Linked DNA regions of Macaca fascicularis. The protein of the gene in region 1 interacts with the protein of each later gene in a biochemical or structural test. Links are inferred from orthologs where the notes say so. Each region holds a gene or a part of one and is shown on either strand. Other genes may lie near its edges.

Region 1 (9,199 bases):
GCTTCTCAGTTCAAAGAATGTTGAAATCTTCTAATAAGAAAAATTTTTTTCCATGAGAAGGATTTTAAGCACCCAGAATCAATTTTAAAATCTCCAATTTGCTATATGTAGGTTTATGGACTGCTTAACTGCTACTCACTTTTCCTTCATTTATCAATATTGAAATATGAAATTAAAATAATGACTATTTGTGGCAAAATTAGGGACTATGTGGCATATTAACAACTTTATAAATAAAAGAATAAATCAACTCACCTGGGAGTTGTTACTGTCATTGACCTAATGCTATTTCCCATGGTACTCCTTCTCCCTATTGAGAGACATGAGATACTGCAGATTTATGGGTCACTTTCAACATGTCTCCTTCAGGCCTCATTTTAGAGAAGCATACCATCATGAGGTTCTATACAGGCAGGATCTAGGCTTGTCTCCTTGAACCTTGCATTCCCTCTCAAGAGCCAACCAATAAGTGAATGATCCTATAAAAAACACAGAAACATAGAGAATAGTAGCAGAAAGTGGACGCTTACCAAACCCATTTTCTCTTTTTCTAAGCATGGAATAAGAATAACTTATCCTCCTCCCTTGGAGTTAGGAGTTCTTATGTAGTAAGGGAAGCAGAGTGACCTTCAGGAGAGTTTGGAAGAGGGAGTGATAAATCAGTTTAAAGATAGCACCCAGTGATTCTTAGATAACTTATTCCACTTTCCTTCTCACTCTTTTGCATTGACCATGGCTTAGAATATATTTGAGGAAAAGCATCATGTCCATAAGGTATTATTGCCCTTTAAAGCTGATGGGGGGTACTATGGATGGTACTCAGAGTAGGACAGAGGTTGTCTCTACAGAATTTTCTCTGATAAAACAAAAACTAAATGACTTCCGAGGCTTCTGTAGCTCTAAGCATTCCACAATTCTTTGGAAAGCTGGAATCTAAAATTGCCTTAAAATTAAAAAATAAGAACAGTAAGGGTGTACAGTCTTTACCATATTTATATAGAATCATCAGTCTTCAGTGTGATATTGGTGCTTGAACCGACAGAAGGACTGATGAAACAGAAGACAAAGTTCAGGTCTGGCGCCATGGCTCACACCTGTAATCCCAGCACTTTGGGAGGCCGAGGTGGCCAGATCACTTGAGGTCAGGAGTTTGAGACCAGTCTGGACAACATGGTGAAACCCCATCTCTACTAAAAATAAAAAATTAGCCGGGCATGGTGGCAGGCACCTGTAATCCCAGCTTCTCGGGAGACTGGAGGCATGAGAATCGCTTGAACTCAGGAAGCGAAGGTTGCAGCTGAGGTCATGCCACTGTACTCCATCATGGGTGACAGAGCGAGACTCTGTATAAATAAATAAATAAATAAAATAATAAAATACAACCTAACAATCTCAGCCCTGGAATTCTATTCAATTGCACCATGTTCAGCAGTGGTAACTGGAAACATCAATGCTTATCAATAAGAAATGGATGAATAACTTATGCTACTCCATGTGAAGGATTTCTTTTTTCATGACAGGGTTTTAGACATGTTTGGTTAAGAGAAAAGCAACATGCAGAAGTGTATATAACATCATTGTACAAAATTTTTATTATTTTTGTTTTGAGACTGGGTCTCATTCTGTCATCCAGGCTTGAGTGCAGTGGCAGCACGATCTCTGCTCACTGCAGCCTCTACCTCCCAGGTTCCAGTCATCCTCCCACCCCAGCCTCCCAAGTAGCTGGGACTACAGGTGCATGCCACCGGGCCTGGCTAATTTTTTGTATTTTTTGTCAAGACGGGATTTCACCATGTTGCCCAGGCTGGTCTTGAACTCCTGAGCTCAAGCAATCTGCCTACTTGGCTTCCCAAAGTGCTGGGATTACAGGCGTGAGCCACTGCGCCCAACCTTTTTTTGTTTTTTAAATTAATAACCCTAATCAAAAGACAAAACAATTATGCATACGGAGCCAGGCACAGTGACTGTAGTCCCAACACTTTGGGAGGCCGATGATCGCTTGAGGCCATTTCTAGACCAGCCTGGACAATATGGTGAGACTATCTCTACAAAAAATAAAAATAAAAAATTAGCCCAGCGTGGTGGTGTGTCCATGCAATCCCAGTTACTCTGGATGCTGAGGCTGCAGGATAGCTTGAATCCAGGAGTTGGAGGTTACAGTGGGCTGTGATTATGCCACTGCAGTCCAGCCTGGGCAACAGACTGAGACCCAGTCTCAAAAGATAACGTTTATTTTTTTTAAAAAAACAAAAAACTATGCATGTATATAGATAGGTGTATGTAAAATACTTAGTTCAAAGAAAAACATGTATATTTCTCACAGAAATAGGTGAGAATTTTTTTTTTATTTTTTTTAAAGAAAAACAGGTAGCTACATATTAGTTTGAGGAAGGGGGAACAGGGATGTGATGTGCCTGTATCCCTGACTTTAGACGATGGAAGGAGCTAAGCAAAACAATTGAAAAAAGACCGACCGTTTGAAAAATACAACTAATTATTAACTCATATGCACACACGCAAAAATAAACTTTTAGAATTGAGCTGCACTGAGTAAACTTGGCTCATCATATACTCTTTTTGTCAGATGTAAAAAAAAGTTCAGTTATTAAAATTGAACCCCAGAATTAAAATTGCAAAAGCTTAAAGGGGCAGTTCTGAGAAAAGGATCTTCAGTATTGAATGTGTGGGCTCCACCAGGGTTGAAAATCCTGCACGATTGATGAAACACGATCCAGTTAAGCATAGTAATTTTCAAATATTATCCAATCAGGTCGCTACTGTTTCTAAAAACAGAGAAACCGAGCAAGGGCTTTAGAGTTGCAGCTCTAAAACTCCATTGCAACTAAGCTCCTTTGTCCTGATGAGGGCCTAAACCAAGTCGACAGCCTGTAAGTGCACCCATGGTAAAGCGCTGCGCAAAGCAAGAGCATTTTGCGTTTCAAAGCTTTGTCATGATGGCGCTGCAGAAAGCGAGCGAGCTAGGCCTACCTGGTGGGGCTTTCAGAGGACGCCAACGTGGGCGCCAGTCACGCCAGAAGGGTCACCGTCATTCCCAAGGACAGACACCTCTCTAGCCACTGCTGCCGAGAGGGCGTGATTAAGCCATGAATTTTGCTTACTATCCCAGAAGCATTTCTTAGGACCACCCAATTTCGGAAAAGGCTACTTTAGCAATATTGACCCAAGAACGCAATGTCCGCACTTTAACCTTGTATAATAAAAAAGCCTCAAGCCTGGGACTAGGCTTCAACCTTGGTTCGTTACAGTTATGACTAATTAGCTTGGGGTCGTGAGATGCGGGACTTCGGGCTACTTAAAAAAAAAAAAAAAAGCAAAACAGGTGATCTAAAATTCGACTTTAACTCGGTGCATTTGAATTCACCTTGCTATCTTTGATAGCCTCATCTGGCAAGAATTTACTACTCAACCTATGTTAAAGTTCCTATTGACTCTCCAAGTGATTCTAATATAAATGAGGGCGTATTGCATTTGCTTGGGGGAATTTCATCTGTGTACTACAGCTCTTTTCCCGAAGTGTGTAGGTGGCTCTTAAAAGAGCCGTTGGGTTAGTAGAAGTTTCCAACCGAATTTACTTTTTCTTGGGTGCCGCTTTCTTGGGTTTGGCAGTCTTTGGCTTCGTCACCTTAGCCTTGGCCGCCTTGGGTTTTATAGCCTTAGTTTTAGCAGGGCTTTTAGCTACTTTCTTGGGTTTTACAGCTTTGGGTTTTTTGGGACTCTTAGAGGATTTCCTTGTTGCCGCAGACTTTTTAGCATTTTTTGGAGTCTTGACGTTCTTTTTGCTAACCCCCGTGGCCTTTTTGGGCTTTTTAGACGCACCCGTTGCCTTGGTTTTTGCAGCCACCCTTGAAGCGCCGGGCTTGGTTTCCACGGAGGATGCCTTCTTGTTGAGTTTGAAGGAACCCGAGGCGCCGGTGCCCTTCGTCTGCACCAACGTTCCCTTGCTTACCAGGCTCTTAATACCCAGCTTAATGCGGCTGTTGTTCTTCTCCACATCGTAGCCTGCGGCCGCCAGCGCCTTTTTAAGAGCAGCCAATGACACACCACCACGCTCCTTAGAGGAGGAAGCAGCCTGCACGATCAGCTCTGACACGGAAGGGCCAGCAGGCTTTTTCTTAGTGGCCACCGCAACCTTAGCAGGTTTCTTTGCCTTCCTGCTAGCTGAAGGTTTCTCAGGAGCAGCAGAAGCGGCGGGAGCGGGAGGCGCCGTTTCGGACATGGTGACTAATACAGCACACCAAGTAAACTGGTATAAACCTGACCAAGCAGGATGCGAGAAAAAAAAGGCCCCGACTCAGCCTATTTATAGGGTGGGACTGCGCAGTGATTGGTGCCCGTCAGTGCCCGCCCCTCGCACCCTAGCGCCCCCTGCGCTCTGCAGAGGGTTTCCCCCAGTCTCAGAGAGCACCTGGGGGCCTCTAGGGCCTATGGTCCCGCTCCCCTCAACGCAAGCAAACACACCGAAAAAGCCGCTCCGATTGCCTCATTGTGAAGGAAATTGTAGGCCGACTGCCACCTAGTAACATCAGAGGGTGCCGCTTGTCTCTCAAAAAGCAGCTCTGTTTTAGGGAGTAGGTTGATGGGGAGCGGTTTGCAAATGCAGCCCCACAAGCATCCAGGGAGTTTTATTAGAAAGTTTTAGAGGTCCGTTGCCAGATATGTTAGTTTTTAATTTGCAAGAAATGTAAAATACAGTGTTTGAATAGTTGGGGAGGAAGAGGAAAGTGCGGGTTTTAGGCCGTGTTAGGGCTAGTAGTCATCAACTCGATTACATTTTCTGGCAATGTTTTAGAGCGATGTGTCTCGCGAATACCTTTCACGTCAAAGAAGAATGAATCGTAGACAACACCAGAATTCACTAACGCTGCAATTAATACTCAAACTGCAAGTGTGGAAACGTTTCTGCACTTGCAACTTACTTCCACAGTCCAATGTGGGATGCACTTCAGGAATTTCCAATGCCCTTTTCATCCATACAACATGCCCCAAATGGGTGTTAAGGTTTACAACCTGTGTTCCATGTCAGCACATGCAATGAGCGCACCATGACATGGTGAACTCATTGTTTTATTCAACAAAGATTTATGGGCCTCACAAACCTGCGAAAGGCGTTAAATGCTGGGTCCAAGAAACTGGTTCCCCGACAGGCATTCTGCTGGGGAGTTAAGTCTCCTTAGTGTGAAAACAAACGGTAAGTGTAAGCACACCCTGGGGATAAGATTTTATGGTAACCTCTCTTTAGCTTGTTTGTGGCTGTTAAGAGCATTTCAAATTATCAATAAGCTAAAACGATCTCACATTGCCAATCAGAGACTCAGCTAACGGGAGAACAAAAAAACTATTAAATCGACATCCACTTCTACAATCCTATTCTGGATAACCCCTTAACACAGCGGAGAGTGAGGGAATGCGGTCTATTTCCGTTCGTGCTGTTGTAGTTTTTAAATAAGTCCGAACTGTGCTAAGTAACCTGAGCTTTTTCCCTTTTTCTTCAAACAACGTGTCAACCAAATAATTGTAGTAGTCCCAGATAACTATTGTACCCATCTTCTTTACCAGTGTTTCCTACGTCTATTTTATTGAGAAGCCACGCATTCAAATATTTCACGTAATTTCTTAAAATTTGGAAAATAACATTTGGAAACTATACATCTTGGTTTGACGGCTAGTCAGTTATGAAACACAGGTATATAAAATTGGAAGGTTTTTGTAAGTAAACCCTTTATGAAAGATATAAACCTTTCTTAATGTAATAAGCGAGGTATCTGAAAAAAACGCAACTTTTAAAAAGGAAATACTCCGAATTATCTGATTCAGGAGCTTCCACTTTAAATAATGGGTTCTGCCTCCCTTGTTTCCATTGGGTTAAACTGGCTTCAAATAAAATGGGAACGCTCCATGCAAATAAAGGATGATAGATCTGCTTTCTAAATGGCTGTTCAAGAAAATAGCCTAAACCAATCAAAAGATAGAAAGTGGCCTGTCTCCTGTGAATTTAAAAAGGTCACAATCCACTTTTTAGTGTTTTGAGACTTTTAAAATGATTGCATTAGCGCTTGGCAGTGCTAAATTATGTTCCTTGCGGACTACCATCCAGTTTCTCTTGGGCCAAGTCCACCTCCTGCTCCGCAAGAGCAACAATTCCCAGCTGGTGGTACCTGGCGGCAGTGCTGGAGAAACGCCATTTATTGACTGGCAGAGTACACCTAGGCTTAGAAAACAAAAGCTGCAGAACACTGCAAGTTTAGGATTCAAAGAGCATAATCAAGAGAAAGACGTCTCATAGAAAATGTTTCTATGAGGAATAGTGTAATCCTACTATGTTTGAGATGCTTTGTAGATTTCAATAGCGCTACTAAGTCAATTAAAGCATTACAAAGGAATGCAATTCTTGTGAAAGGTTTCAGAAATTCCCGTAAAGGGTACATTTCCGGAGAGGAGAATTCCCTCTTTTTTTTTCTCCTAAAGAGCTGAAGGCTATACAGAATTGGAGAATTATAATACCTTTGGAATCAATGCCTTGTTTTATGGAAAATAAACACAGCCTTCAGGTTATGAAAACCAGATGTATAAGAGGACAACAGATTAAAAAATTAAAGTGCAAGCCGGCGCGGTGGCGCTCCCCTGTAATCCCAGCTACTCCGGACGCTGAGGCGGGAAGATCCTTTGAGCCCAAGTTAAAGCCAGCTTGGGGAACAAAGCAAAAGTGAAATAAAATAATAATAATAGTAATAATAATACCACTTTAAAAATAATCTGTAGAGTTGGAATAGAATATAGTAGCCAGTGAAACTGCACGATTGTTGAGGCTTAAAGATAGACCAATCAGAGCTTGTAACGTCATATTTAGCGTCTTCTATCATCCAATCACTGCACTTTACTCACTATAAATAGCAGAGAAGCTCGCGGACGTATTTGCGCTAGTCTTGGGTGTTACGTTGTGCTGTTTTCCCATCATGGCTCGTACTAAGCAAACTGCTCGGAAGTCTACTGGTGGAAAGGCGCCACGCAAACAGTTGGCCACTAAGGCAGCCCGCAAGAGTGCTCCGGCCACCGGCGGTGTGAAAAAGCCCCACCGCTACCGGCCCGGTACTGTGGCTCTGCGCGAGATCCGCCGTTATCAGAAGTCTACCGAACTGCTGATTCGTAAACTACCTTTCCAGCGCCTAGTGCGCGAGATTGCGCAGGACTTCAAAACAGACCTGCGCTTCCAGAGCTCTGCTGTGATGGCTCTGCAGGAGGCGTGCGAGGCCTACTTAGTTGGGCTGTTTGAGGACACTAACCTGTGCGCCATCCACGCCAAGCGCGTCACTATCATGCCCAAGGACATCCAGCTGGCTCGCCGCATCCGCGGAGAGCGGGCATGATTACTCCGGCAGCTCTGACGGTCCAATCAAAGGCTCTTTTCAGAGCCACCACCTTTTCAAGTAAGGTAGCTGTAAGAAGCCAATCTAAGACGAAAGGGAATGCATTGGGAGCACTTTTCGTTTTGATGTTTGCCACTGAAGGCTTAAAAACCATTCGATTTTGGCTGGTCACTATGACGCGCCTGTGATTCAAGCACTTTGGGAGGCTGAGGCGGGCGGATCACCAGAGGTCAGGAGTTTGGGATCAGCCTGGCCAATATGGCCGAACCCAGTCTCTACGAAAAATACAATAACACGATGGGCGTGATGGCAAGCGCCTGTAATCCAAACTACACTCGGGAGCCGGAGGCAGGAGAATCGCTTGAACCTGGGAGGCACAGGTTTTAGGGAGTCGAGATCGCGGTAATGTACTCCAGCCTGGGCGCCAGCGAGTCTCAGTGTCAAAAGAAAAACATTCGACTTAAAATAGTTCTGGAGTCTGAATGGGTTTGTATTTCTTAACCCAGTTCCTCAAAGCCTGTAGCTCTGTTAATAAAAGCTATTGGTCAAGCCAGCTTGGTCCCACCCCCGTCTCCCAACCCTCCCCCAACCGCCGCTCCCGCCACTTCCTGGGGCTTGGAGGAGGAGTAAGGGAGGGCACTGTAGGCGTCATATTTCCCGCCTGCGCGCTTTTCATTCTGTGTCCGCTGGGGGTGGAGGAAGGGGTAACATTCGGTTACCCCTAAACGTAAAGATCGGTTCCCCTATTCTCTCTCTCTCTGGTTAATTCTTAACCCAGTTCCTCAAAGCCTGTAGTTCTGTTAAGAAAATAAAAGTCATTGGTCAAGCCAGCTTGGTCCCACCCCCGTCTCCCCACCCTCCCCTAACCGCTGCTCCCTCCACTTCCTGGGGCTTGGAGGAGGGGTTGAGGGAGGGGACTGTAGGCGTCACATTTCCCGCCTGCGCGCTTTTCATTCTGTGTCCGCTGGGGGTGGGGGAGGGGTAACGTAGATATATAAAGATCGATTCCCCTGTTCTCTCTCACTTGCTCTTGGTTCACTTCTTACGAAGTCATGTCTGGACGTGGTAAGGGCGGGAAGGGTTTGGGTAAGGGGGGTGCCAAGCGCCACCGCAAGGTGTTGCGCGACAACATCCAGGGCATCACCAAGCCGGCCATCCGGCGTCTGGCCCGGCGTGGAGGTGTCAAGAGGATCTCTGGTCTGATCTACGAGGAGACTCGCGGGGTGCTCAAGGTGTTTTTGGAGAACGTGATCCGTGACGCTGTCACCTATACGGAACACGCCAAGCGCAAGACGGTCACTGCTATGGACGTGGTCTATGCGCTCAAGCGCCAGGGACGCACCCTTTATGGCTTTGGCGGCTAAGGTTGCTGCTTTCTCCCCAGCTTGCGTTTCCGAACCAAAGGCCCTTTTCAGGGCCGCCCAACTAAACAAAAGAAGAGCTGTATCCATTAAGCCAAGAAGCTCAATGTATAGTTAATGTGAATGATAATGAGCTGACATACTAGAAAGGAAAGATTACTGGAACTGCAAGTTTGCCCTTCACTCACTAGATATGGGTAGGGGAGCAAAGATATTCCAACTCTGAAGCGTGAATGGGAAAAACATTGAGTTAAAAATTTGTGTTAGTTTCCAAGGGACAAAGGGAAGCGCTGCCCAATCAGTGAGCGCCATTCGTAGCTGTCAACCAATCAGAACTGATAAGCTAATATTTCCTGAGGCAAGCCAGAGAGTCGGAGGGGAAGCTAAAAAGCTTATTGAGAAAGGACAAAACCCTGTTTTAGTAAATTTTTTTTTTTTTTTTTTTTACTAATT
Region 2 (10,215 bases), on another chromosome or scaffold:
CAGAGAGGCCAGGACAAGGACCAACTCTTGGCAGGGATCAAGTGAGGGACCCCATTTGCCTTCAGCTGTGTGGGCCTCAGGGACAGAGGGAGGGCTTTTCCAGGTTGCTTGGCCGAGTCTTGGACTTCAGGAGTGGAGGAGTCTGGAGGCCTCCCAGGGTTCATGGCCTTTGGAGGAGGCAGAAGTGACAGGGGTCAAGCTGCTTCTCCTTTGGATAAATCCTCCAGGAGGTCCACAGAGGGAACAGCCCTGGGTGGATGCCGTGGGTGGGAGTCTGGAAGCTGCCTGGCGCCACCCCTAGCCCATCTCCTTGGCTGCAAACCTGGAGGAAGAGGAAAAGTACCACCTCTAGGCAGCTGCTATGAGTCTAGCCCTGCTCAGGGATTTACGTCCCATGTCATGAGAGGCCATTGAAGGCTCTTTCAAGGCTGACGGCCTATGACTTGGCACATGACCATGCCAGGTCACAGGCTGTAACCCTGGGCAATGTGTTTAGCCTGGCTGAGGCTCTGTATATATCATCTCATTTAACCCTTATCATCTCATTCAACCTCTGACATGAGTCTGTCATCAGCTCTCTTCATAGGTGAGAACTCCAAAGCTGGGAGAGGCACGGTCACCTACTCAGGGCCATACAGTTAGCATGTGACACAGCCAAGGTTTGCTCTCAGGCTTCAGCAGGCCCTTCTTGTTGATGCCAGGCAGATTATGGGGACACAGATACCAGCTCATCTGGACCCTGCCCTGGCCCACCAGTGTGGCACCCAGAAGCAGCTCCAAGATGCAGGTTGGTTCTAGTCAAGCGTGGCCTGGACTCTCTGGACCTCATGCAAACCTGTTCTCCCTGGGGCCCTTGGACCTAAGGCCTGGAGGGAAGCCCACCTTCATCCCTTCTCTGCCCTTGCCACAGCATAGCCAGCACAGCCTTAGCCCCTCTGCCCCCCTCTGAGTACATCACACTTCCCCTTTCTCCAGAGGAGAGAGATTGGCTGAAGCCAGTGTGTGCTTGCAGCCCCTGAGCTCACAAGTCTGCATATCCTGAGGATCAGGAAAGTGCTTCCTGTTGTCTAATGTAAATCTTGTTCCTGTAACACCAGAATATGTCAAAGCAGTGATTCTCAACAAGGGGTAATTTTGCCCTGCAGCGGACATTTGGCAATGTTTGGAGACATTTTTGTCTGTCACAAGTTAAAGCAGGGAGGTACTACTGGCATCCAGTAGGCAGAGGCCAGGAATGCTGCTAAACATCCTTACAGTGCACAGGGCAGCCCCCACAGCAAAGAATCATCTGTCCCAAAGGTCAGTGGTGTTGGAATTGAGATCCCTGATGTAAACTATGGGCTTTGGAGGCAGAGAGACCTCAGTCTGAATCCACCTCTGCCACTGACTAGCTGTGTACTCTGGGGCAAGTCGCTTCTCCTTTCCCTGAGCCTGTTTGCTCATCACCAAAACTGGCACTAACAGTAGCCCTCACCTCTTAACTGTTCCGACTGCACACATCCAGCACCCAGCACACAGCCTGGTGCTGGGTAGCCCCTATCAGCGATAGCCATGATTATTCATTTCCTTCTTCCAAGGTGAACCACAGGGAGTGGGAACAAAGGTCTGGTGCCTGGACCTGGAGGCCACAAAGGTCTGGTGGCTGGACCTGGAGCTCCACAAGGGTCAGTCCTCCCTCTGGCTGCAGTCCCTGGCACAGGGTGGGCCTATTGTTTATGTTGAGGGAGAGGCTGGGTTGGCTTACTGTGAACCTGAAGGAGGAGCCAGAAGGAAACCTGATCCCAAGTGGGCAAAGGTCACCTGAGGCTCACCTTGTGCACCCTTTCCTCCAGTCCAACCCCAGGGAAGCCATGGGGCATGATGGGTGGGGTGGGATGGTATCAGGACACAGAACATGCTAATGAATATGGTCCTTCGCTCAGGGAAGTGCTGTGCATTACAACTGGGCATCAGGCAGGAGGGGCATTTGAATGGACACAACCAGGGCAGGTAGAGGTTTGGGGGTGGGGTGGGAAATGGCATTCAGGCCCAGAGAACAGCATGCTCAAGGCCTGGGTGTGAAGAGAAAAATGTCTTTCCCAAAGGATAGTCCTGGAACCCACCTGGTCTGACCTTTTCTCCCCATCCATCTTCCCCAATCTCAACCCAGGTGGCTGACAACATGGCAGCCCTTCTGTCCCCCATCCAGCCTCTCCTCTGCCCTGCAGTCCCTCTGCCCCATCTATCCCGCAGGAGCCCTCTAGAGCCTGTCGTCCTGACTGATTGTAACAGCTTTCACCACCTTCTCATTGCTCCGTAAGAAGACCAAAGTCCAATAACCTGTCTCTGTCACAAGCCCCTTTCTCAGCTCAGGCCACCTCTGGGATTGTCCCCCACTTCCATCCCTTGTGTTTAGACTTTCCCTATCCCTTCTAGGTGGTTCCCCAGGACCTGGAACCCTCTTTTTTGTCTCCTGGGAAGTGACATTTCTTTGGATCAGTATAAGAATAATGTCTTGGCTTTCTGAGCTCTGGGGACAGGGGAATGGACACCCTAGAACCCCAACTGGTCCCTAGACTTTGAGCCTAGGGGACACTCGATGAATAGATGGATGAGTGTATGAATGAATGAATGAATGAGTTATGGCTGACAACCAAGTTCCACGTCTGGAAAGGAGGCTCAGGCGCCTGCCAGGAGCAATAGAGAGGTCTCGAAGATGGGGGCAGGAGAGCAGAAGACTGCCAATCGGGGTAGGGGCAACTGCCAGTCGGGGTAGGGGCAGGTCCCAGAACCGCCTGAGGAGCAGTGCAGCGGCCGACCAGCGAGAACCTCCGGCCCTGGAGTGTAACCAGCTCAGTCTTTGGGGCAGAGCCGGGACAGCGGGCTTGGCGGCGGGCACCGAGCCCGGCCGCGTCCGAGTTCCAGCCAACAGGAAGAGCAGGAGTGGGGCCAAGGGAGGCGGGCCAGCTGGCTAGTGGGGAGTCCCGGGCGTGGGTGTGGGGAGCGGGGGAACCCCCGCCGGCGCCTCCCAGGCCCCAGCGGGCGGGGGGCGCCTCCTTATCGGGCCTCAGCGGCCTCCTCTGTAAAATGGGCCCCTTCTGAGGGCTGGCTGCGCGTAATGGCGGGAGGATGCGAAGCGGGCCACAGAGGGCAGAGGGGCCGGGAGACTCAGTGTCCCGCGCAGAAAGAGGCAGAGGGACACAGTCCCCGGTTGCAGCTGGTGGGGCGGGGCCTGGAGGGGCGGGGCCTGGAGGGGGCGGGGCCGGCGGCACCTGGGTGAGGTCGCGCCGCCCCGCCCCCTCGCACTTCCGTGTGCCGCGGCGCCGGAGCCCGAGGCTGCTGCAGCCCAGATCCCCCGAGCGACCCCCGGCGCCCGCCCGCCGTGCCGAGGCCCGGGCCACACCTCACTGGCCGCTGGACTCGTCCCAGTCAGCGCCGCGCCGACCGCCGTCCGCGCGCGCCAAGGAGCCGCCCGCCCGCCACCGCCGCCGCGACCCTTGGCGCCTGCCCCTGCGCCGGGAGGTGAGTTAGGGCCGGGACCCGGCGCGGGATCGGGGCTACCCCGAGGGCGCGACGCCCTTTCTTCCCCTCCCCGGCCCGGTTCCCGTTTCCGAAACTGAGAAACTGAGCCGCGGTCAGCGAAAGTCCCTCCGCGCCGAGACATGCCGGTGACTCCGTCCCCCCGTCCGTCTGTCTGTCCGTCCCTCCGCCAGATAGTGGGGGCTGAGGTCTTTCTGTCCGCCCGCCCGTGTGTCTCCCGCTCCTCCGAGAGGCCCGTCCGTCCTTCCCGACTGTCTCCTGGGCCCTGTGACCGTCCGTCTGTCGCCACCCACTCTGTGTTCTCCCCCTGCGCGCCTCTCCGAGACCCGATCCGTCTGTCCCTCGCCCTCCGCGTGCTCCATCGCCCCACCCCCACCCTTACCCCCGCCGGCCGCCCCCTCGATCCCGTTCTCCCGGAGCCGCGCCCCCGGCCCACGCTTGCCGCCCCCTGCCGGTCCAGCCGCCTATCCGCTCTACCGCGGAGCCCAGGCCAGGCCGCCCGCCGGGCCTCGCCTCCCGCCCCTGGGTCCCTGGAGGCCCGACTCGCGCGGCGCCTCCTCCTCGCTGTCTCTTCTTTCGGTCTCAAGAGTCTTTCTCGGTCCCTTCATCCGTCTCTGGGCTGGGCGTGGCTCCAGTCTCCACCATCCCCCTTACTGCCCCACCCCTCCGCCCCTCTGAGACCCCTTCCCAGGGTGGCCCCTGCCCGGTGTGGTCTGCACCCGCCCCCAACCCAGATGCCACTCGCGTTGTGGGGGCTCTGCCAGGTGAGGGGAGGGAGGGGGAAGTCCTCCTGGCTGGTGGTGGAGAGGCAGAAGGAGAGCACCATCGGAACTGCTCCCACTTCCCCAATTCCCTCACTCTTGGGGCACAGGAGAGCCCCACTGAGCCCCCACTTAAACCTGGTCAGAAGGATTTGCTGTGAGTGTGTGGGGGGGTCCCCTTCTCTGATGCCTACCCTGTATGCATGGACGCTATCTCCTTGTGCTAAGTCACTGGTATCTGGGTGTGTGGGTTGTCTGTGTCAGCTTCTGTGCTGTCACTGTGGGACTTGCCTGTGCATGTGTGTCCTTTTTCGCATGTGTGGCTTGCTTGTGTGTATGTGTGTATGTCTGTTTGTGTCCTGAGGCTCTGTGTGTGTCTTTTGCAACTGTGTGTACCATTCTTGGTGTTTTTGTTGTCACCAGACTTGTGTGTGTGTGTGTGTCCTTGTCTGCCAGTGTGTGTGTCCCTGTGTGTCTGGAGATTTCAGTGTTGCATACTGGGTATATCATGGTGACCAACTGCCCACAAGTACCTTAGATCTGTTAATTGTGGAAGCCCCTGGTGTTGGGTGCCTGCCCACCAGGCTCATGTGTGAGTGTATCTGTATGAGTGTGTGTATGTGCGTGTACTCATGTGTGGCTCTCCCTCTGCCACTGAGCTTCTGTGACCAGGCTCACCTGGTCACTAAGGGAGGGGACTGATCCCTGGGGTTTCCTCGTTCCTACTGTGGAGTGAGCTGGGGCGCGGTGGGCAGGCCAACAGAGGGAGGCTGTATGGCGCATGTGTGATGTGTGCAGTTGTGTGTGTGTGTGAGACAGAGAGGTGTGGAGGTGTCTGGGCAGCTGTACCTGGCTGAGGGGTGGTGTGAGGACTATGGGATGGGACGGTACTGGGGTAAGCCTGGCAGTGTGTGGTCATGGTAGGAGTGTGTGACTGGTGGGACACAGTCTATGCTTGGGGAGTGACTGTGATTGTGGGGAACGGAGAGTGCCTGGGCGTGGGTGTTAGCGGCAGGAGGGGGTGTGACAAGGTGTGTGGTGACAGTGCTGGGAGGGAAGGTGAGAGCCCAGTATGGGTGTGTGAGTGTGTGGGAGACCATGAGGATGTGGGTGTGCACATGGAGAGGGCTAGAGGGCAAGTCTTGGGGTTAGCAGTGTTGTGACCAAGACCTCGGGCTCTGGATCCAAGAATGATTTGGGCTCCAATACTTGCTTGTGCCTGTTAAGAGCAAGAGACCCAAGCTAGGCCTCTCAAGGCTGAGTGTCTTTATCTGCAGAATGGAGAAAGTTGTGTGGACAAAAGGTCCTGAAGTCTTATGTTGTCACCACCCCCGGCTATATGGTTCCCATTCTCCTGGGAGCTGGGGTTAAAGAAAGCCCAGACAGTATCCAACCCAATTTCCTGCCTGTCTGTTGCCCCTTCCCATCTCCTTGACCAAGCAGCTTGAGGGAGGGAGGATGCCCAGACAAAGCCCCTAGTACCCAGCCCTGTTCAGCCTGCATGACAGCCCCTCCCTCACCAGCCGTTAGTGTCAGTAGCAGCAATGGGGGAGAGAGGGGTGGGGAGTGATTCAGAGCTGTGACTGCAGGGCGCTGACACCATTTAGCTGGCACAGTTTAGATTAAAATTAGAAATAATTTAAAGTACAGACGAAAAGATAAAGCCAAGGATGCCTCTATCCCCAGGGAATGGTGATGAGGGTCTCCAGCTGGGGGAGGGGCTCACATCTGGGGAGCAGAATCTTTCTTAGAGGCTTGAGCTGGCTGTCAGAAAAAATGCTTAGGCCTTTCAGCCAGGAGACACAGAGTTCCTTGCTACCTTTGCCATTTCTTCCTTCCAGGATATCTCCAGGCCTCAGTTTTTTCAGCTGTGTAATGGGCACAATAGTAACGTGAGAATCACCTGAACTATAATGCACAAAACAAGAGATTAAAAAATGTCACTCTTCAGGCTGGGCACAGTGGCTCACACCTGTAATTCCAGCATTTTGGGAAGCCGAGGCGGTAGATTACTTGGTCAGGAGTTTGAGACCAGCCTGGACAACATTTTGTCTCTACTGAAAATACAAAAATTATCTGGGCGCGGTGGTGCGCGCCTGTAATCTCAGCTGCTCAGGAGACTGAGGCACAAGAATCACTTGAGACCAGGAGGTGGAGGTTGCAGTGAGCCAAGATTGTGCCACTGCACTCCAGCCTGGGCGATAGAGCGAGACCCTGCCACATTAAAAAAAAAAAAAAAAAATCAGTCATTTGGCATTCTCAACGTGAGTCCAGCACAGGAGCTTGCACGCCACATCATTGGAACCTCAGAACCACCTGGGGAGAGGGGGCTAGCAGTTTCTCCATTAAAAAAACTGAGGCTCAGAGGAATTGCCCCAGGCCATAAAGTGGTGTGGTACTTCATTGCACCCTAGGACTCCTAAGCCTGCAGGGCAACCTCCCGCAGACAGGAGAGTCGGGAACAGGTTTTTGCTGTGTTATTGGCTTCCTCACCAGGCTGGAAATGTGCTGAGGGCAGGGACACAGTGTTCCAGCCCCTAACATGGAATGGACACATAGTGGTGTCCAGGAAAAGTTGGACCCAACACTACATTTCAAGGAAGGGAAAGCCACATCCAGAGAGACCCAAGGTTTTAGGGCCAGGAGAGACTGAACTGGGCCTGTCAGCCATGCCGGGACTGGCAGATGGGGAGAGCCTGTTTGGCGGTGCCTCCCGGTTCAGCTGTTTCCTCCTGTTCCTGCAGGTCTGCAGGGAACTGGCCAGGCAAGGGTGCAGGCCGGTTTCTCCTGGTGGTTGGTGCGTTGCAGCAGCAGCAGGAGCCAGGACTAAGGACAAGCGGGAGCTGGGAGCCCCAGGTAGGACTGAGTTCTCTTAGGCAGATGGACGGTGCTCAGGCGTGGCCTTCCTCTCTGTCCTCCCTGTCCTTTGCTGTGGGACTGGATGGGGTTGGGCATGCATGCAGAGTCCTTGATCTGGTTGTGGGCCCTATGTGCCCAGGGGCCGCAGCTGTTTGCCCTGTCTATGGAGGGGCTCTCTGCTCATGAGGAACTTCCCGCCTGGAACCTGGCTCTGGCCCCGAATGCTCTCGCCTTGGAGCTCAGAGGCCTGGGGCCTACCATGAGTTTGGGGCAAGAAGTAGTAACACTTTTTTGGTCAGTTAGAGAGAGGGTGGCTCGTGGGCCAAGGATTGAGGGTGGATGTATCAGCTTTTCCTTGGCCCTGTATCTGCCTCCAACTGTCCTCATCGTCACACAAGGACACTGAAATTCCCCGTGGGCCCCACAGTGAGTTGGACGCTGCGGGGGGATGGAATGGGGTCTCCAGGTACAGCTGAGCTGTCTTCCACACCCCAGGCCCCTCCATTTTCCCCACTTCTCTAGAGCCCGAGCAGGGCTCAGTCCCTCTCGTCAGCTTCCAAATTCAAGGGGAGTTAGGCAGAGTCTGGAACAATGCTGGGAAGGCTGCAGTCTCTCTGAAGAGCCTCAGAAAGCTGGAAATTCCTCGTTTTGGGGCAAGCCTTGCCTCCTTCAGCCCCATTACCATGAAAACACTGCTGTGGGTGACTCCATACTCACTCCAGGCTGGTGACTGGGTGACTGGGCCCCAGTGAGCAGGGTTCTGGTGGTGGGTATGGGTGCTAATGAAGCTTGAGCCTGGGAGTGACAGTGGGGGGATAGCAAAGACCGTCTTTCCTCCAGGAGCGCTCCCTGAGCAGACCACCGCAGCCAACCCCACTGGCTGTTACACACTTATAGGTCTGTGAGTAGAGCCATAAGGGCTGGGCTTCCTGGGCCTGACTCTGGGTTAGGGGGCAGAAAGGAGGTCAGGGCCCTCACTCCTGGGGTAGGAGTTGGGGCAGAACAGGAGTCGTCTTCACTGGGCCTTCTGTGTATTGGACCTATCCCTAAACCTGGTGTGGAGGAAGTGAAGTGCCTTTGGCTGTGTAGGGGCCTCTGCCACCGGAGTTCTGAAGAGCCAGCCCTTTCTGTCACTCAGCCTTGTTTTCTAAGGAGTTTGATTAGTCTTGGAGACAGCCCACGGTAAATCCTCAGACATCACCCGCCTGCTGCACAGACATATGCGTGCTCACACAGGGATATGGCAAGCCAGGCTGCAGTGGCCATGCACACCCACAGACTCATGAGTGCGTGCACCACCCATGTGGGCGTGCAGGTACACAGGTGCTCACATGCAGCCACCCATGGCACACTCACGCACACACAGATGATCTCCCAGTTACCATTGGCATCCATGCACTCAAATGCCTTCCCACACATACCACACTGTGCCCATTCTGGGGTCAGGAAGGGGGGCCCTGGTCAGAGTCACAGCCCAGCAAGGTCGCCTGCATCTGGCACCTGAGGGGGAAGTTCCAGGTGTGGCTGTGATCTCAGGGGGTTAAGGGGGGCTGGGCCACCCTGGTAGGTGGGCTCTGCCCATGCATTCAGCAGCCACCCTCCCACCTGGCCCCAGGCTCCAGGCCGACCAGGGCTTGGCATGGGAGATGGGAGATGGGAGATACGAGTGCAGGGGAGATGCGTGTCAGCTGTGCCAGCACCGTGTGCCTAGTGCCACGGCAGAGGAAGTAGGCTTTCTGGCCATGAGGCCAGTGTGCCCACAGTGGGTGGGGGTCCTATCACAACGCCTGTGTCCCCCACAGCATCCATGGCTAGAGGGAGTGGAGTTGCTGGGCTCTAGGGACTAAGAGGTTGGCAGGGGCGGTCTGTTCACTTCCCAAAGGCTGGGCCTGTCTGTCCGAGGCGTTTCCGGAGGCTCACTTCCTCTGGGCTGCCCAGGAAGTGGTTTTGGAGTGGGACTGACCAGCCCTCCGTCCGCAGCTCTACGCCTTGCTCCACCCCTGCCTTGCCTGCCCAGGGGAGCAGCATCTGGCCACCGGGTTAGGCTGACTGACCAGGCTTTTCACTGCCAGGGCTGCCCAGGCTTTTTTCGGGGGCTCTAGGAGAAGGGCAGGGGCCAGGTCATGAAGTCCCCTGCAGTCTCCACAACTTTCTCGTCCCCGCACCTTTCTTGCTCTGACCCTGTAAGCCGAGGCTCAAGAGCATCAGCTCTGGTAGTCATGGCCCCCTTGAGAGTGGTGATGGCTGGGCTGCATCTCAGTGACTAGGCAGCTCCCAGCAGCTCTATGAATGAGCCTGGGCAAGTGGCTTTGCCTCTTAGTGCCTCAGTTTCCCCCGACAGATGAGATGATAGCATCCATCTTGATGAGGTTGAGCAGAAATGACAGATAACATATGCAAAGTAGCTAGCATCGTGCTTAGCACATTGTCAGAGTTGAATGAGTAGAAACTGTAGTTATGTAAAGCATTTAGTGCCCAGTTCATGGGAACTATTCAAAAAATAGCAAGTGGGACTGATGAGGGGGTACTATGATCTGAGGGGCTGGGCACTGGCCCAGTGTTACATGGCCAGGTGCTATGGAGCCTGGCCGAGGAGCCAGGTCTCTGACTCCCTCATCCCCCTCAATTCTGCCTCCAGTGGCAGCACCCTACTGGTTCAATAGGTTCCATGTCTTCTGAGGAGAGGAGCTCCCGGTGGAGCAGCTCCACCCACTCAGCAGCCCAGCCCTTGCCTGCTCTTCTCCCCCTCACTCCCTTTCAAAGGGAGAAAATAGATCTCATGACAAATGGATGCAGGGAGGGGAAAGGCAGTCTGCAGCTGCCTGCTGCCCCCTCAGGGCTCCCCTTGGCGCTCTCCAGCTCTGGCCTTCTGCAGGACATTAGGCTGGGAGAATTGGCTGGGAATGAGGGGGTGGACGTAAGCCCTCCTGCCAGCCTGCTTACCCTTCAGACCCCTGGAGTCAGCCTTTGGGCTGGGGCAGGGAGTGGGCATCTGGTTATGATGGAGGCTAGAAGAGTAGGGGGAGCTAGAAAACCCCCTATATACACAGCAGCTGGGGGCAGGGCCCAGCCTGTC
Region 3 (10,215 bases), on another chromosome or scaffold:
CACATAGTAGACCCTCAGTAAATATGTGGTGAATGAACTGACTGCTGACAAAACATGCTATTATGTTATCTCTTGTTTTTAGTTCAGGCTGTTAAAACAGGATCCATTTGTGCAGTGCAGAAACTCCAACACAGGTTCACAGTGAAGTCTTATTCTGGCAAAGGTTCCAGGATTTGGGATTACCAAATGTAAAAAAAGAGTAAATTTACTTCCCACACACTGACTGGCTGATCAAGTGAGGGCCTGGGATACATCAAGTGCAGGTAAGCAAGAATTTCAAGTCATTATCCCTGTGCATGCAGGCAGTACCAGTGCCAGCAATAACAAGTCAGCTTTTCTGGCAAATCCACCAAAATTAAATCTTAAACTTTTGAAAAAACTAATATGTGTATTATGCTCCTGTTAGCTTAGAGGCTTAACTATCTGTGGGGAGGGCCTATAATTATGATCAATTACTTACGACTTGAAGGTACTTATAAAAGCATCTGCCCTTTTAAGAAACCATTAAAGAACCAGGCTTAAGACTGTAAAACTAATCCTAGGGGCAATAATAAATCACAGGTTTGGGGACCCAACTTTGACAACTCTCCCTTGGAAAGAAAAGAATTGCTGTCAACTATCCTTATTTCCTGACCCTGTCTGAGCAAATATTAGCAACCTCTAAAATCCAGAATTCTTAGTCTGGCCAAGTAAGTCATGGGGACCAATGGTTGTTCCAAGACAGAGGCAAAAGAGAAGAAATAGGAAGGAAACAAAAAGGGAATGAAGATCTGTAGCTCACGAGGGTGACATCATCAATAATTTCCTCAAGTATCACTGAATTTCATGGCTCGGTGACTGACAGTCTTTTCTGACATCCTACAGGCTAATTATCCTCAAGTAGCTTCTTGGTTCCAGAACCTGTAATGTCTGGGTTTGAATACGATTTGTTCTACAAAAAAGGTCAGGTGAGTTGACTCCTCCCTGCAAAGTTGCTCCATGGCAAGAGACCTACTAATCTGCTGAAATGCAAACAATCCTTTAGATATCTGAAGTACTTTTACATTTACAAAGTGCTTTCACATACACCATGTCATTTTATTCTCACGACTTCAACAGGTAGGTGCCATCATGTAAAAGGTGCCACTTAACATGTAAAATAACTTCAGAAAACAATGCCTTTGTCTTCAGTTCATAAGTATATCCTCCTGAAATTCACAGTACAGAATCCAAGTCATGGGTCGTTAGAAACGTCTAGAAACACATCAATCTCAGGAGGATAAATCAAGAGAATAGGATGGATCAGACAAAATCTACAAGCACAGTGGCAGAAAGTGTGCCTCTGTTATAAGAATGGCGTGAGCTTTGTAAACAATAGTGTTATACAGGGGTGCCTCTGTAGTACCTCTGTGTTGGAGGGACATTATTCATTCATACACATGATAATGACCCTTAATTGGATACTCCATAGGTAACAGACAAAATAAAACAAGAACTTTTCGTCTTAAAATTGTAGTGGTGGAATTCATCCTTCAGTATGTATTCAGGTGATTCCTCTGGGATGACAACTGAGTTACAGGGGCCTAAATGTACCCTCCCCTTTTCCCTCCAATATCACAAAGAGCCCCCAAAAGGGATTTTGTTGTTTTTAACAAAGAAAATACACACTAAAAAAGTCATCTATAGCTTTTTAATATATAATCTCATCTTCCAAAACACTCATTCTCGCAATCTCAGTATCTTTTGTCCTTCCTTCACTAGCTAAAGCAGAGGTATAATGCGGTTCCAACTTCATAACCATTTACTGCCTTATTTATGTATTTATGATTCTTTGATGCTTTCTAGCTTCAGTCTAAACTGAAGAGAACAAAGCACCGCACAAATCACCAGCCTGGGAAAAGAGGAGACAAGTTAAAACCTCCGAGGAAGATTCTGTAGCGACTTGGTCTCTCTGAGTCTGTAGAGAGTTTGGTATTTCAAAGGTCAGTCTTGGGTCTCTCCACTTTGATGACTAATGTTAAATTGTTTGACTTTTTACAAAAATATTTAGCTGTGCTTATTTACATAATTTCATCCTCAGCGCACACAGTAGGCATGTATTTGTTGAACAGAAGCCCTAAATGGATGAGAAAAAAGATCTTTCTGCTACACATTTTCTCAAGATCGAGAAAAGTAAAATCACAATCCAATTTGTAGAAGTTTTTGTACAACCCAATTTGTAGAAGGCATTCCTTTTTAATGTAAAGCTATGCATCTCTGTTTAAAAAGGAAAAGGATGACACAACCAAACAATGTCAACCACACAATGGGGAAATTCCAGGATCACTAAGAAAACACCATTATCCTAAGTCACACATTTTCATTTAATACTGGTTACCACGCAGGAGAGAGTAAGAACTGCTGTCTCCCCACTCACTCGCACACCCCATCTGGGAAAACCATGGGCAGAACATTTATGATCTAACCATCCCACATCTTGGACTCACATTTAACCCTTTGGAGAATTAGTCTAAAGAGTATGTCCGCCCAGAGATATAAAGTAAAACAGACACAGGGATAACAGTTTTGGAAGAAATTTTTATGACGCTGTTTGAAATTGGGCATCAGCACTCAAACTCCTTAGACCACCAGCAGTCATTCTTATTACGCAACTTTAATAAAGAGAAACTGAGAGTATGACTGGCAAAAATATTATGATGTTTCTGCATCTTCTTAACCTGATTTACACTAGGCTCCACCCATAAAGTTCCCACTGATTACCACACAGCATCCTCATTCTCCAGTCTCACCTACTAGGTCTTTCAAAAATTCCCCAACGGCATGGCCAGTAAAAATATGCGGGAGCTAGCGGGGCATGTCTCCGGTTGGCTTATCCTGTCCCTAAAACGCACCCATCTCCCCCGGACCCTCCTTCAGGGAGGGCACGGAGAAAACGCTTCTAAGTTGCACAGCTGCAGGGAAGCCTGCGCAGGTCATGTTTTTTGACTCGTCTTTCGGCTCGCTGTCTGGCAAGGTCACCGGTTCTGGCTCGCGGCTCTGTCGACAAAACTTAACTCTCACTCTGTAAGATCAACAAGTCGCGCAGGACCTCCCCAGTCGCCCTCTGCCCCACACCTTTCTGGGCCTGAGGATTCCCGGCTCGGCCCTCCCCGCGCGCGCGGCCCCAGACTGCAAGGGCGCAGCTCCCTGGCTCACCTGACCACGTTGGGGTGCTCGAAGGTCTCCAGGTGCCTCAGCACCGCCACCTCGCGGATGGTGGAGAGCGGCATGCCCTCCTCGCCCGTCTGCACCCGCACGCGCTTCAACGCCACGAAACGGCCTCCGTTCTTCAAGTCGCGGGCCTTGAACACCTTCCCATAGGCGCCCTCCCCGATCTCCGCCACGCATTCGTACTGCTGGTCAGCGCGGCACAGGCCGTCCTTCTCCATGCCGCCTGGACGCCGCCCGGCGCGTCGCCGCTGGGGCGGGCGGGGGGTGCGCTCAACTAGCTGGCGGCCGCCGCTAGCCTACTCCGGGGCTCCCCGGAGATTGGTCTAGCTTTCCTTGCTCCCTGCTGGCTCAGGCGCTCGGGCGCTGGGGCTCTCGCGGCTGCGGAGGCTGGATGGAGCGACCTCCCCGCGGGGCTGGCGTAACTCTGGTGCCGCCGCCGCGAAACTCCGCCTGCAGAGTCGCTGCTGCCGCCGCCTGAGAAGCGAGCCGATCCCTCCTCTTCCCTCCCCGAAGCGAAGTCCTCAGCACAGACAGAGACGATTACATAGCCTCTGCCCAAGGGCGTCTCAGTCCAGAATCATTGCACCTAAAGGAGGAGACGGGAGGATAAGAAGAAAGTGCAATCAGACAGCCCAGAAGCCTTCCTCGGGGTTCCTCCAGACTCCCCTCCTCCTCCTTTACGAAGCCTCCATCGCTACCCTCCGCGCGCTCCTGCCCTCTCCCAAGCCGCTTAATCCTTCCTGGTTCCTCCGAGAAAAGCGAAGTTACTTTTCTTTCCCTGCAGGGCTGAAGCCGTCTTCGCGCGGAGAGGTTGCAGGGGCCCCTCGGGGATGAGCGAGCGGCGCGGGACGCAGTGGAACGGGAGGGGGCGTGCCGAGCAGCCCAGAGTGTGCCGGGAGCGCGGGGGAGGGGAGGCGCCGGGCACGTCAATGTCACGGCTTAATATTTATCCCTATATCATTGTGTTGCGTCGCTACCCTCCCCGCCTCCTGAGGCCCGGACGTGCAGGGAGATGGGGTCCAGGGGTGCCGGAGGGCGTTCAAGGGTCGCGCACAAGCTGGAGCGGAAGGACTGTGGGTCCATCCGTGTGGGGCCGCAGAATGTGGGTGGGGGCTCCCAGGACCCTGTAACCCGATGCTGTGAGTGTGCGAGAAGGGGTGGTCAGACATCTGCTCAGAAATTGCTTCCTTTCTTTCTACTTTCAGTTTTTCTACGAGGAGACATTTAAAAACGACTCGCATACACAAATGGTCTCTTTGGGGTAAAGGAGTCTCGGTTGGAAACGGAATTCTCTCTCCGACTGGGAGGACCTCCCTGGTGGAAACCTTGGGAAGACCAGCCATCTGGTCGGGGAGGGTTGGGGCTAATCGGGGGTGGGCGAACGAGAGGTCCTGGGGGAGGGGAGACACTGTCCCCCACGGGATCCCAAGGGTGGGAGAAAGGGGTGTTCGTCACAATTTCGCTTGTCGTCTTCTTAAAGAATAATTTCAGGAAGAGGATAGCTTAATCGCGCCTCGTCCTGAAGTTTTAAATTGATTTCGACCTGAGCAAAACTCAACCTCTCTTTCAAAGGGTGGGGGGTGGGGGGTTAAACCCTGCGCCTCCAGGGGTGAGAAACAAGGTCTCTGCCCTCGGGGCCCGGACTCGCGAACCTTTTCCCACTCCCAGGACCACCCCGCTGTAGGTAGCGGAGGTGGCTGCCCCATTCCCTCTCCGGCTAAAGGCCGGGTCCAGGCTGCAGCCGGACGCCCCCGGAGCCCTCTGCATAACAAAGCGCCGGAGAAGGGTACCCTAACTTTCCCTCCCCATTCAGCAGCTATCTGGGACCTAGGGAGCCTCCCTCCCCCACGGCCGCCGCGGCCTCGGCAGGACTTTCACCACGCTGGCCGCGTGTCCGGAATTCCCGGGGCACCTCGGAATTACCTGCCTCGCAACCGCTGCCCCGCTCGCCTTTTGCCAGGAATTAAACAAACGGCGCGACCCCCACGATGAGCGCGTGGAGCGGACCGCGGCGAAAGCAGAGCTTCTGGCACTCACTCCATTCAGAACTTTCCTTAAAAGCCGAGGAAAGAGCCCCCAAGGACTGCCCGGGCGTCTGAGCCAGGTCGAGGGCCACACAGGTAGCCGGGGAGCCGCCGCCGGCCGCCCAACCCGCCTCTCCTGCGTCCCCCCATCCCCCTCCCGCTCGAGTCTAGCCCCGGGCTCCGCAGCGAAGGAAGCGTCGGGGACGTCCCACCCCCGCAGGGAACTTCGCCTGCTGCCCCCGCCGGGCCCCGCACTACCCTGACTCTCCCCCCACTCGCCCCCCAGACGGTCGGCTTCGGCGGAGAGAAACGGGAGCAGCAATGCCTTTTCCCCCCCTCTCCTCCACTTTTTTTTTGTTGTTGTTGTTGCTTTCCCACGCTGGCTGAATGTGACTTGACCCCATTTCAAAAAAAGTTTGACATAGTGCTTCAACATTTCCGCATTCCTCCGCGACTACAAAGGCTGCAGCCGCCTCCTTCTGCTTTCTGTCTCTGCTCTCTGTCTTCACACTCAATGAAATCCTTCATGCGCCTCTCCCGAAGCCTGCCAAGCACCACAAGGGTCGCCACCAGCACGGCAACAAGAGGCCACACCGGGGACCGCGACTCCCGCGTGTGCGCACACGCAGATGCGCCCATATGCACACGGACGGGCGCCCTGCGGGGACAAGGGCTGCTCACCACGGGGCGTGTGTTTAACTCCAATATTTTAAATGATAAAAGTAAACTTGGAAACTAAAGCAAACGTGCGTCTTCGTGGGGCTCCAAGCCTGGGCACCGGCCGGCTGCGTGCACTCTTCTGTGCATAACACGCCCGCAGGAAGCCTGCGTTAACATTTATCTCGTGGAGGGGAAGGTGGAGCCCACACCCACACCTCAGCGAGCTGGCGAGGGAGTTTTCGTGGGGGAAATGCAAGCACATTCTCCAGCATGGAGTCCCTAGAGGCAGTGCATTTTGAACCCTAAATGTGAATTATTATGTGAATGTCCGAGTAAAGTTCCAGTTCCGTTTGGAGAAACTGGATGAGGAGTGTTCTGTGTGAGTGTGTGTGCGCACGGGTACGTGGAAGCAGGATCTCGGTGTCGCGGGTGTCCCTAGCGTAGGATCTCCCCCTCTCGTCAGATTAGAATCCTCTAGCTCCCCAAAACTGGCCCCCATAACCAACGCCGTCTCAGTTCGTAAGGGGTTAACCAAAGCCGATTCCAGGGAAACACAGGTCCCCCCCACCCCCCGCCAGCCTCCACTTACCCCACCCACAGTTCTGCCTCGGACCCCGGCCAATCCCCCATATCTCCCCAGGGACCCCCCACCCCGCAGCCCACCCACCCGAGCGCACAGCTCCTCACCTGAGGGGCCCAGTCGCGTCGGGCCTCCTGAGGGGGCTGCGAGTGTCAGTCGGCTCTCCGCACGTGTCCGCGGCCTCGCGGAGCAGGTAATCAGACTCTGGGGAAGGAGTTACCAGCACTCTCTCCGGCGAGGGGGTGGGCACAGCGGCGGAGGGCGGAGGGAAGGCGGAGGGCGCCGCCCGCGCCGCTAGCTGGGGGCGGACGGGGGCCGCGGGGCTCTGGCCGGCGCTGGGGGCCCCAGCCAGGGAGGCAGCGGGGGCGACCGCGCGGGGTGGGGGCAGGGACCCGAGAAGCCAACTCTGCCGGAGACCCACCCAGCGGCGAGGCTGGGGGCTCGTGGCGCAGTGGCAAGAAAGTGTGCAAATTAAAGCCTTCCGGAGAGAAAGGAGGCGGCCAAGCCCCGGCAGTGCTCCGAGCTCCGGGCTCCCTAGCTCCCTTCTACGAGTCGGGGGCTAGAAAGGCGCGGGGCGGGGGGGTTGGGGGGGCAGGGGAGTTAAATGAAAATTTCCGGCTTTCACTGAAACTGTAGTAGGGGGATCCTGCGACTAAAATAAGCGGCGTTAGTGGGAGAGAGTGGGACGTGTCGTCGGGAGTCGGCGGAGTTTCCAAACCCAGGGTCGCCCAGAGTTGGGGTTTTGACAGGGTGAAGCAGGGGGTATCCTCACTGTGTGACGTGGACGGATGGGAAAAACACAAAACAACTAACAATAATTATGAAGGGCCGATGGGGGTGGTAAATACCAATACTTTCCAAGAAACTGAAAAATCAGACCAAAAAATAACTCTTCTCTTAAAAAAATAAAGAAAAAGTTTGGCAGGATGCCTTGCAGAAAAGAAAATACTAATCTGTTCAAGCACTTTTCACTTTCAGCATGAGCTACATTTGTTTTGTTTTCCTTCGCTTCCTTTCTGCCTCACAAAGCCCTATCTTTTCCTTTTAGACAGAGGGTATGGTTTGGAAATTGTCAGGCACTCTTATGGTTAACGATCTACTTGAAGGGGCTGGCGGGTTCACAATTATTAAGTGGTTAGTAACTGCTGAGGGTTCACTAACGTATTTCAGAGGAGCTAAAAGGACTAAAATTTAGTGTAAATAATAGAACTGCAGACAATAGATACATACACAGAAAGAGGAGTGCTCAGTTTAAATGCATTATTGGAAATCTGAAATTTGAAACCTTGTAAGAATGTATACTTTACCTGCTGAGAAACCCTTGAATACAATTATTTCAGGTGAAAATGAGCTTTTGGAGAAAAAAAGTCTTTAAAACCTTCTACAATGGAGTAAAAGAAAACTTGAAATAGCTGTCTTTTTGGAAAGAATTTGGTGTTCTCCCCAAAATCTCTATCTGTAGAATACTTGAAACCCTTTAAAACATATTAAAGAAAAACTTTTCACAAAATTATTTACTTCAGTGCTTTGTAGAAAAATTAAAACCCGGCAAAATTCTGTTTGAATTGGACATACTACTTCTATAAATCTTTTGACTTTAAAACCATGTTACTGATCTCATAGTAAATCAAATTTTTGCCTTTATAAAATTGATTCTATATTATAGTATAAGGTAAGGCTAGGGAAATAAAAAATTGATGCATTTCCAGTAGCACATATTTTGCAATGCATTATAATATTTTTTTCTTTAAAAATAAAAGTGAATAATTGTATGTCTTTAAGCTTAAGATAATTCATAAAATACATTTGTGTTAAGAGCATGTCTTCTAAAATAAGATCCAGTTTTCTGAACAAAATTTGTATTTATAAAGCTATCTATAATCTCATATATCTTATAAATTTAATAAGGCAAATCATTAGATTTTATATTTACATAAAATATTAGATCACTACAAATCACTAGACTTTAAGCCAGAGACACAAATGGGAATCCTCCATTTGGATAATTGTTCACACTTACCATTTGCCTTTTAAAACAAGGTTTACTTGATGGTAATTAACACGTTTATATAATCCAGAAATAATTGCCAGTAAATAGGAACCAGCACATCATGGCTAGAATTTATTTGAATAAATCACTTATTTAAAAAAAAAATAAGCTACAAATATCTTTTAAATGAACAGAGAAGTGTCTTTTCTACACTGGGTTGAAGTTTTAATTACTGAATTTGACAACAGCCATTGCTAGATCAGAAATTCCATGATTTAGGTTACTAGATCATTTGGACAATGTAAAAAACAATGAAACTTTATTTAATTATATATGTTAATACTGAGTGTTAACTCTCTGTCCTCTTCTTTTCCTGATATTGCTATCTTTTATGTTAATTTATCGTTGTTCACTCTCCCTGGTTATGGTTCACATTAAATCCCAGTTGGTGAAAGCTTCAGACCCAAGGAAGTTTTTACAACTGATTGTATGAAATTAGTAAATACCAGATTATTTTTGTTTATGGGTAACTTCTGCTGTGGGTAACAGGTTATCATAAGAAAATTTGTTCAAAGTTTTTAAACTGTGAACCAAATTCCAACTTCTTTGTTTAGGAGTCTTCTGAGAATTAATATATAGAACTCAAGAATAATGACTCCAACCAATACTTTCATACCACATATCAGATATTCTGAAGTTGCAAATCATCTTACAGTTATTTAAAAATTACAATTCATGGACTTATTTCCAAATATGGTGGTGTAACTTACACTGAAAGATTTCTTAGTGTCATATAAGGAATGTATTTCATGAGTGAACATTTATATATCAAATACCTGTACAATTTTGTTTTCACTGAAATAAACATAAAATTTTAAATTCTGGTCTATAATTTTTAACCTTGTTAAGGAAATGAGTAATTTAGTTACAAATAATAATTACATAATGTACACCTAAATCTAATTCATTTCTGATTTATATTAGCTGTTTGAGTTTATAAAATATATTTTCCAGAAACTCAGAAATGAGATTTTGCTGTAATTTACTACACAATTATTTTAAAATACACTTCTAGTTTAACTTTGAAACAAGTTACTCTACTTTTTAACCTGATTTATGTGTTTGTGTACATGTTATCTTTATTGAGTAATAATCATGAGAAACTATAATTTTAACAGAAATAGCATAATATAAATGCAGTGCATTTTAATGCATTCTTCTTTCCCTTCTCAGACATTTCCAAGATGTTTTGTTGGGTTTTCCCCTGAACTATATTGTTGAAAGTTTGCTAAATATCTTAGGAAAAGTCAATTGTATTATGAACTTTTTGCATTGTAAAATTCTGAGCTTTAAATGATTTTTAAATTTCAGTCTTCTAAATAAATTATTTCTGTAAATTTGGAATGACCTGGGTTTTTCTGTTTTTACTGTTGCATGTGATCTATTGCATTGCATTTGAGCAGTGAAACTTGGAATGAGTTTGATATCTGCCATGAGGGAAAAAATAGAAATAAAGTAGTAGCTTATAACATTTAAGGAGGAAAAAAACAAACATTACTATCTTTTGGAACATTCTGCTTCCATTGATTCTACTACTCTATAATTTTCTTTGTGCAACATGTCAGTACTATGTTCATATTTGAATAATTGCCATCATCTTTTTTAATTTTTCCCTTTTGATAGACACCCATATCGTTTTTTTCTTTTGTGTGTGTGTGTGTGTGTGATACCTGTATGTTCTTGGCATATTGTTATGACATGTTTGAGTTTGA

Evidence for each region.
Region 2: of the proteins of H1-1 (region 1) and PRKCD, one has a biochemical effect on the other in vitro, tested with the Homo sapiens proteins (2 studies listed by BioGRID). The link is inferred for Macaca fascicularis from reciprocal best matches to the Homo sapiens genes H1-1 and PRKCD.
Region 3: of the proteins of H1-1 (region 1) and CDK6, one has a biochemical effect on the other in vitro, tested with the Homo sapiens proteins (2 studies listed by BioGRID). The link is inferred for Macaca fascicularis from reciprocal best matches to the Homo sapiens genes H1-1 and CDK6.

The regions. Positions count from the first base shown.
Region 1 is NC_088378.1:146,908,535-146,917,733, reverse strand, and holds H1-1 (histone H1.1), read right to left. Parts: upstream 4,296-9,199; 5' UTR 4,238-4,295; coding exon 3,590-4,237; 3' UTR 3,589-3,589; downstream 1-3,588. Other genes in the region: H3C1 (histone H3.1), read left to right, coding at 6,975-7,385; H4C1 (histone H4), read left to right, coding at 8,438-8,749. UniProt on the Homo sapiens protein: Histone H1 protein binds to linker DNA between nucleosomes forming the macromolecular structure known as the chromatin fiber. Histones H1 are necessary for the condensation of nucleosome chains into higher-order structured fibers.
Region 2 is NC_088376.1:116,294,892-116,305,106, forward strand, and holds the start of PRKCD (protein kinase C delta type), read left to right. Parts: upstream 1-3,281; 5' UTR 3,282-3,501; intron 3,502-4,311; exon of another isoform or gene 4,312-4,437; intron 4,438-7,024; exon of another isoform or gene 7,025-7,136; intron 7,137-10,215.
Region 3 is NC_088377.1:128,507,785-128,517,999, reverse strand, and holds the start of CDK6 (cyclin-dependent kinase 6), read right to left. Parts: upstream 6,653-10,215; 5' UTR 6,561-6,652; intron 4,016-6,560; exon of another isoform or gene 3,776-4,015; 5' UTR 3,408-3,775; coding exon 3,175-3,407; intron 1-3,174. UniProt on the Homo sapiens protein: Serine/threonine-protein kinase involved in the control of the cell cycle and differentiation; promotes G1/S transition. Phosphorylates pRB/RB1 and NPM1.